Nothobranchius furzeri: one gene and its partner. The protein of the gene in region 2 purifies or fractionates together with the protein of the main gene of each other region. This does not show direct contact. Links are inferred from orthologs where the notes say so. Each region holds a gene or a part of one and is shown on either strand. Other genes may lie near its edges.

Region 1 (4,079 bases), on a different chromosome or scaffold from region 2:
TGGGAAAGAAAAACAGAAAATTATTTTAAAAAAGAGGTAATCAGTGGATGCTGGGAAAGGCTGAATTGGTAGAAAGAGCTGAATAAGAAAAGGGCAATAGTTAAGGTCACACCAAAGCCAGCCTGAACAGGTGAGTTTTCAGCTGCTTTTAAAGGAGACCACTGAGTCCACCGATCTCTGGGGGAGAGAGTATCGCGTCAGACCCGTGCCACAACCCGTGCACGCGCATTGGGTCCACAGTGCGCGTGTGAACGGGACTCGCGAGCGAAAATATACATGGCGAGAGGTCATTTGTGCACTGAGAGGGAGCAAACTGTGTCTGTGAGCGCACAAGGATGTGCACAAGTGACAAACCTGCGTGCGCGCGTTGCCAACGAGCACACGGCAGAGGAAAACGTGCGCGCGCGGCAGCCTCTCTGCGCGCTCGGCAGCCTCTGCGCGCTCGGTTTCTAATTCCGCTCGCTCGGCTGTGAGGAGTTTTGGCACTCTGGAGGCGTGGCCTGTGGCAGATCTTCCCTGTCCTCTGATTGGTTAGTTTACTCCGCACTTTACTCTCTAGCTATCTGTATAAAAAAATCTGAGATTCAGCAGTTGCTGTCATGGCTCAGCTGGGAGAGCGGGTGACTCTCACTCTGGAGGATCCAGGTTCGAGTCCGGCCAAGGGACATAGAGTTGATGTCATGTTATTCTTTCCTAATTCCTGTGATATTATTTTACAGTTGTGACCGTTCAACTGTCATTAAACGTCCGAATGTTTGCTGGGCAGTGTTTTAAAAAGTGCACATAAGCTAGATGGTTTTAACCAGGTAAAAATAGACTTGTGGGTGTAGGTATGTCCAAGTTTAAAAAGTTCTTGCCTCATTAATGTATTGTTTATTTTTTTCAGCATTTAATTGACAAATTATCCTTTCAAATAATTAATTGATGAGTTACATAATTGTCCATTTAGAATTGTTGAATGGACTGAGTCAAGTTTGGTGCACTTTATATATTTCAAAACATGTTTTTTTTTAATTATGCATATAAATAATTTTAATGTTAATTTATTGAAATATTTCTATTTTTTCATTACCTCACCCTTGTTTTGACAAAAACAAGATCTTGCTGGATAATATCACGGAGAAACTATTTGTTCACAGTACATGGCTCAGTGAGGATCTGTGTACCAAAGGAGGAGATGCTCAGAAATCTGTCTGCAGATTGTTACAACCCAGACTGGAAGTGGTGGGCTGTAATAAGAAAGGAGACCAAACAGAGGAGTGGGGGGTTCAACAACTGATTTATTTAACCAAAGTAAGGATTTCCAATAATAAATAAGAGGTATTCACCTTCAATACTAGTCATTAAAATGCAGCAGTTGCTGTACTGGTGTAGTTCAAAGTGGAGTGCATCAAATAAAACAATATTAACATAAAGGTGAGTCGTGTCATTACCCCCCCCACCACCACAGCTGGAAAAATCCCTAGGGGAAACACTAACAGCTGTAGCTTAGACATCTCATGGTTCTTAAAGGAGATGTACAGTTGGATGCCATCTGCATAAAGATGGTAGGATTCATTTAAAAGAGCTCAGCATGTGCTGGAGAGGAAGCAGATGAAGACGAACTTGGGTCTTCCAGTAAAACCTGATTAAGAGGAAATAAAATTAGATAGCAGGCAACTACAAAGCTGGCACAGATGTGGTCTCTATGATTTAAAAGGTAAATTTAAAGGAAAACTTTCATTTGATTGCAAAATAAATGTAACCTATATCCTCAGTGAGCCATTTAAAATGCCGACTCTTTAACTAGTCAAATGTGAAATTCCCTTAATCTGTGAGCACATGTGAGATTTGAATGGAGTGTAAATCCTGATCTTTCAGCTTTAATCTGTTCTGTCTCTATTATAAAGACTGAAACACCTCTGTTCCCAGCAGCAGCAGAGGATCAGTCCTGCTTCAGATTTGCATGCAAAGCTTTTCTCACTTGGTCACAAACATTTAACAGTCAAAAACCACCGTTAGATATCCAGCTGACCAGAATAAAAAAACATTTGTTTGTGTCCTAAAGTGGTTCAAAACTACAGAAATTGAATCCAAGTGCCTCAATGATGATGCCCTGAAAAAATAAGATGATACAGATCAGTTTATCTTAAATAGCAACAACATTACTTTTACATCTGTTGTTTGCACGCCTGCTTAGAAAACACACCAAACGTATGTGGACAGACCAAGGTTTCAGTCCAAAACAAATTATTTCCACCTTCTGAAGTATCTGATCCTCTGACCTCTCCAGCCAGCAGGAACAAGATGCTACAGCATCTCTGAGCTAAGTTAGCTAGCTAAGTTTGAGCTAACAAACAGCTTTAAGCTGCAACAGCGTTTAAAACGCTCATTTAAACACCGACTTCACACTTTCAAACATTAACTTAAGTAAATGTCCAACAGCAGGACCGCAGAGCAGCTTCCGAGTGGACGCCATTGTTCAGGGAAAACAGGGTCGTAAGTTACAGGTGTCCCCTCAACTCAAACATTATTCATTTTCTTCATGTGACCTGAACAAACACACCTGCTCCTTACATGGCGCCTCGTTATGGAGTCGCTGCAACAAAACAAGAAAAACATCACCTACCGGGTCCGCGTCCATCCTGTCAGAAACTAGATCCTCCTTCAGAAGACCCACAGACACGGTTCTTTAGTTTAAAACCTTTAAAATGATGTAAAACCTAAAAGTTTGACGCTCCTACAGGTGTCTCTCTCTCTCTCTCTCTCTCTCTCACTCGCTCCTCCTTGGTTTCACTTCCTGTTTTTTTCTCTTCACTCTGAATTCCTTCGCTTCGAGTTTTCAGCTCAAACCCACATCCGGTTTCATTAAAGCGATAAACGTGAAGCTCATTAAACGGTTTAAAGTAAGTTTATTAACATTTACAAGCATTACGTTAGAAAAGTTAAATAAAATAAAACGGTACTACATTTGTTTCATAATTTAAAACAGGAGATAAAACGTGTTAACCAAATCACTTGGATTTTAATTAAGTTTTTTAAACTGTGTATTATTTTATTTATTTAATTATTTAATGCTCTTCCTATTTTTACTTCTGCGTTTATACATTTTGTTATGAACCTGGGCCATCGTTTGTTTTATTGTGAAACATCTATGCTTTTATTTAGAAGATGTACTCCTGTATTGTGTCTGCTGTTGATAAACTGAGTGTAATTACCTTTCAAGGGCACATAGAATATTTATTCATCCGTTTATTTGTCTGAAGCTTTGCTGATTTGTGAGTCAGTGGTGAGAGTTGGATTGTGATTTAATCCGATGCTCAACTAAACAAACGTCTGCAAAAATAAGAGCAATTCAAACATAACAAATTCACATTAGCAGTAGGCCTAAGTTTTAAATAAATACTTTTTATTCACCACAGCAGACATCTGTGCTAAACTATTATAATGTAATAATAGTTGTTACATAGAAAGTGGTTCAGCTTTTAAACAAGACAATAACACTCATAAGTGAGTGCTGTGTGTGTGTTTTCCTCATAGGTTTTAGCCTGGCCTGCCAGACTGGTCCTGTTTAATCCTGCAGAGAGTGTCTGGTTCCTCACAGGCAGAGAGGCACTTGAGGGGCGGGACTAGGAAGCTCAAAAATCACCAATCACAAAAAAGACAGAAATGCAGACAGTACCGCGCAATGCAGTAGTTTTTTAGCTGTAGTCAAAAATGGCGTCTGGCGACAGCGCCATCTTTCTTAGAAGTAAGGCTTTTAGTGCTTCTACTTGTTGTTTTAAAGACGTGCCAAAGTCATCTAGAACAGAGGAAAGAGCCGCAGCGAACTCCCCATTCAGTCGCCATGTTCTTTATTTATAATTGAACAAGATACATATTCTCGTTGAGGATTACAGTCTCGTCAATACAACAGCCAAAACCAACAGCTTAGTGAATAACATGACAGCATCTATGTACAACATAAAATAGATACGTGAAAACAAAAGGGACATAACAAAAATAAAAGGGACTTTACAAAAATCAAGACACAAGACGGGGGGTTAATGCAAACACAACATCCAAATAATACTCCTGCAAATACAAATACAATCCTGTAG
Region 2 (4,246 bases):
TCGTTTTGAGTCCCTAATCTGAGAAAAAATCCAGATTACCAAAGAACTCTGGTACCAACAGGAAGTCCCCTGCTCTGGCTCTGAGTGTTTGTACTGACACTGATTCAGGTACACGCCTGAGAGAAAAGCTTGTGTGGATGTAACATGACACCAATCAGACTCCAGACGCTGGAGCTAATCTCATATGAAGCAACAAAAGCTCCGGCATAAAGCTGGAGCAAAACGAGGCTTGTTGTTCAACACGAACGCAGCTTATCTCCCAGCTAACCACTAATATTTGTGTTTCTACACACTTGTTGGCCAACAGCTGCAGCAACGTCAGCTCCAGCTTTTGTTTTTTTTTCTCCCATTTTAATGGTCGCCGTTTCATTCCAAAGCAGTAATTTAGAAATAAATCAAGTTTTACTGAATGAAACATGCATTACCCGACATAAAAAGCTGCAATGACATATCTTTGATGAGACGTGGAGTCATGTGGGTGCTGCAGAAAGTAATAATCAGTTACGATCAGGAAATGCAACAACTCGATTACAACTGAATGCATTTGTATGTGAACAGCGCGGTTTGAAATGACTCTTCCTCCTTCTCAGACCAGCACAGTACGTGAAAATGAAGTGAGATGTCTGACGCTGACCCCGTAAAAGGAAAATTATAAAGAGTTCCAGTTTAAATCTGACCAAGAATCATTTACAGCACGGGAAGCAGCAGCAGAAGAGTTTCTTGCATGGGTTGTTTTCACTGTATTCTTTAGCCTGTGTGATTTGAACCGTTGCCTTGGCAACGTAGTCCTGAGTAGAGCAGACGTTTGCTTCTATGTTGTCCAGCATGCAGCCCTGCTCCTCCACCAGCTGAGCCATCTGGGAGAAGAGCTCGTGGATGTCTCTGATGCGACCCTCCAGCTCCAGCAGCTCCTTGTGTCTGCTCTCTATCTCGCTCAGAGCAGATCTGGTAGTCCTCCCCTCCAAAAGGAGATTATCCGAGAAGACGTTCCACTTCCCGCTCTCGATCATCTCGTCCAGCTGCTCCCTGGTCACCTCCTTGCCCATGATCTCCGCCTGCCTCTGAATGCGGGTCTTACAGTTTTCCCTCTGGATCATTTCGGCCTCGTTGTACTCAGACATGGCCTCGTGGAAGGCCCGAGTCAGAGAAGTGTACTGTGAGCGCACCATACGAGACAGAGCCGACGTGAAGCCGTGTTCCTCTCCAAGCTTTTTGCTCAGCTTTCCAAGCTTCTCCAGCTGGGCGTAGATGGCCTCCCCCCTGGCTTTGATGTCCCGGCCGAGCGCGTTAGAGTCCCGCTTGATGCTGCTAAACCTCCTGACGGACGTGAGGAACCGCGTGTTCTGCTTCGCCAGACGCTTCACGTCAATTTTCAGCAGCTGCAGCTCCTTCCTCATCATCTGGGCATCTTTGTAGATGCCGTCCATCACATCTTCACCTTGAAACACGATGGCCAGTGACTCTGCGACCTCCTCATCCTCAAAGACTGTGTTAAGCTCCTCCTCAGCAGGCTCCGGGGTGACGGTTTTCAGCTCAGATAGTCGGTCCTTCATTTCACCTGCAGCAAGAGTCAGTTCGATCTGTTATTTTCTAAAATATATGAAATGTTCCGTCGCTCTGAGATGAGCGGAAGCTGGACATATCTCCAAAAGACAAAGATCTTTGAGGCCCAGTTTGCAGTTTTGTCTTCTGAGTAACTTAAGAGACGAGGAGAGTAATAGAGTACAATAAAAACAAGATCTGCTTTCAGACTGACTCCAGATATCTGACACAACACTCTTTTAAGCAGCATCTTAGGAGGTTCCTCAGGTTGTCAGGAAATAATAACGCTGCAGAAAAGAGGAACAGTGCTGATCATCATGTGGCCATGATTATCAACACGAGACGGGCTTTTAAGCTTCCTCGAAATTATGTAAGATCTTCAAAGTGATCCGAGAAATGTGGTAACATTTAGTCTTATTTGGTGCATTAAACCAGAGGTGGCCTTCGGACAACAAGCTGGACCAGAGCCCTCCTAGAAAACACAGATCCTAATTAAACTCTTATAAGCTGCTATGACACATTTAGAATCAGCTTTTTGCTGCTGTTACTCACTGGCTGTGACGTAATATGGACCATTTTATTTTTGGAAACAATAAAAGTGGGGCAATCATTCAAAAATGTCTCATTTTTATCTTTATGCATTTTGGACTCGACCAAATTCTTCCTGGTTACAGAAATGATGATCAACCATATAAACACACCTAATTAAAAACCATTCAACTCTTATTATACTTATCTCGTCATAAAGCTGCTACTGCTCTCACTTTAATTAGTTTTGATTGAGTTGCGATAAGATAAAATAGGTGTGGACGCTTCTCTGGTTATGAATGAATAATTAAATAAATAAATAAACTGATGGTTTAGAAATAATTTCAGGCGGTAATGTCTACAAAAGGAAACTGCTCTGTTACTTCCTCAGATTGTGACGCTTTCAGCTGCTAGTTAGTCTCATCTGTCCTCCACATGCTACTCACATTGTGTAGCTACTTCAAACTATTTCAAGTATTTATGAACAAAACAGAAACGAATAAGCATCTAGTGATCTGATGGGAGGAGGTAAACGAAGAAACTAAGAGGAGTCTTGTAAACTACGCCAGGTTACTTGAGGCGATAAAACCAGAGAAGTAAACGTACCTTATGGCGGTGCCCTCCTAAAGAGAACTCTCCTTAGAAACAGAAGAAAAGAAAGACCCGTTTCCTCTTTGTGTCTCGGTTACATTTAGACATTTCACCAACATCAACCACAGTCTGAGTAAAGAGGTGTGAGTGTCACCAGCCTCCTGACGCCGCGAGACCAACTACGCGGAAGATCAAACCCTGCTTTGAGTTCAGGAAGAACTTCCATCAAAGGGGTCCGAATGGAAGTTCTTCCTGAACTCAAAGCTTTTACTTAAAATGTATTGTGAATAAGGGTGATTTAGAAATGTTAAAATGACGTTACGTAATTATAATTGATTGCATATATCATTTTTCTGAATAAACAAATTCATCAAATTAAATCAGCTGTTGTGATTTACTCAGATTTTCAGTAGCTTTTTAGCATGCGTTTTTTATTAGTATTTGTTTTTATTTTATTTATTTGAGTATTTCATACATTCATTGTGAAATCCAAAGACGTAATGCTTTTCCTGTTTGAAACAAAAAAAGGACCTTAAAAAATCTATGTATCAATGTTTGAGTGTTTATTAGATGCAATTGGGTGCTTATTGTTCTGTTGAACTCATAACCAATATTTTTATATCTGACATGTTTGATTAGTTTGGTAAAATTTCGTAACTGTTTTACATTGCCAAAAAACAAACCCTTCTGCCGTGTAGTTTCGCCCTGTGGCCGCCAGAGGGCGGTAGATCTGCTCTATTTGCTGTGCTGTGGCTAGCTGCTTTTAGCTCCTGCTGCAGCTCCTTGATTTAATCGAGTTGAACACAGATAACTAAAATTGATTTATTGCGTTTTAGTAGTTTATATAAGTGAAGACGCTCTGGCTTTCCTGTAAATTGGACTAAACGCTGTATTGAACGCTGCAGTACCCACTTGTTTCCAGCAGAGGACAGAAAATCTTTACTCTCCACAACCAAATAAAACAACAAATCCCACCTCTTCTGGATCTGTTCACATGCTACAACGTTTTGGAAAGACTTTAGCAGATTTATTATCGGACAGCTCTGCAAGGACTTCGTTTTAAAATGGGAAAATGCTGTATTTTTTTCGCAAGCAGAGAAAGGAAGATGTATACTTTGTTATAAATTTGTTAATCTAGCTAAATTCTATCTCCACAAATGCAAGTATAGTAACCAAAAACCTAATTTCAAGCACTATTATAGTGACACTCTATCTTGCATAAAATTGATTAGTGGATCACTAAACAAAAAAGCTTTAAAAACTATAACTATTTGCACCACCTGTAATTTATTTGGATGTGTGTAACATTTCTGTAGTGCACCCCCTGGCATATGTTTCATCTTCTTTGTTCAATTTTGTATGCAATTTGTTTGTATACTTATCACCTTGTTCAATAAAGTTTTGAAGAAAAAAAAGAAAAGAAAAAAAAACAAATCCCTTATAGTCAGATTATGTCTCCATCGGTCGTATCAAACAATAGATTATAAGTAATTTATTTAGACAAAAAACAAACAGTAAAAAATGCTATTCTAATCAATTACAGGTTACTTTTGCAGAAGTGTTCATTTTTAATTTAATTAATTTG

What was found.
Region 1: the proteins of stx11a (region 2) and vamp8 purify together in Homo sapiens (co-immunoprecipitation; 3 studies listed by BioGRID and IntAct, counting the BioPlex papers as one, with this or other methods). This does not show direct contact. The link is inferred for Nothobranchius furzeri from reciprocal best matches to the Homo sapiens genes STX11 and VAMP8.

What each region holds. Positions count from the first base shown.
Region 1 is NC_091757.1:27,703,361-27,707,439, reverse strand, and holds the start of vamp8 (vesicle-associated membrane protein 8), read right to left. Parts: upstream 2,810-4,079; 5' UTR 2,624-2,809; coding exon 2,609-2,623; intron 1-2,608. UniProt on the Homo sapiens protein: SNAREs, soluble N-ethylmaleimide-sensitive factor-attachment protein receptors, are essential proteins for fusion of cellular membranes.
Region 2 is NC_091758.1:20,330,102-20,334,347, reverse strand, and holds stx11a (syntaxin-11a), read right to left. Parts: upstream 2,812-4,246; 5' UTR 2,677-2,811; intron 1,559-2,676; 5' UTR 1,554-1,558; coding exon 684-1,553; 3' UTR 307-683; downstream 1-306. UniProt on the Homo sapiens protein: SNARE that acts to regulate protein transport between late endosomes and the trans-Golgi network.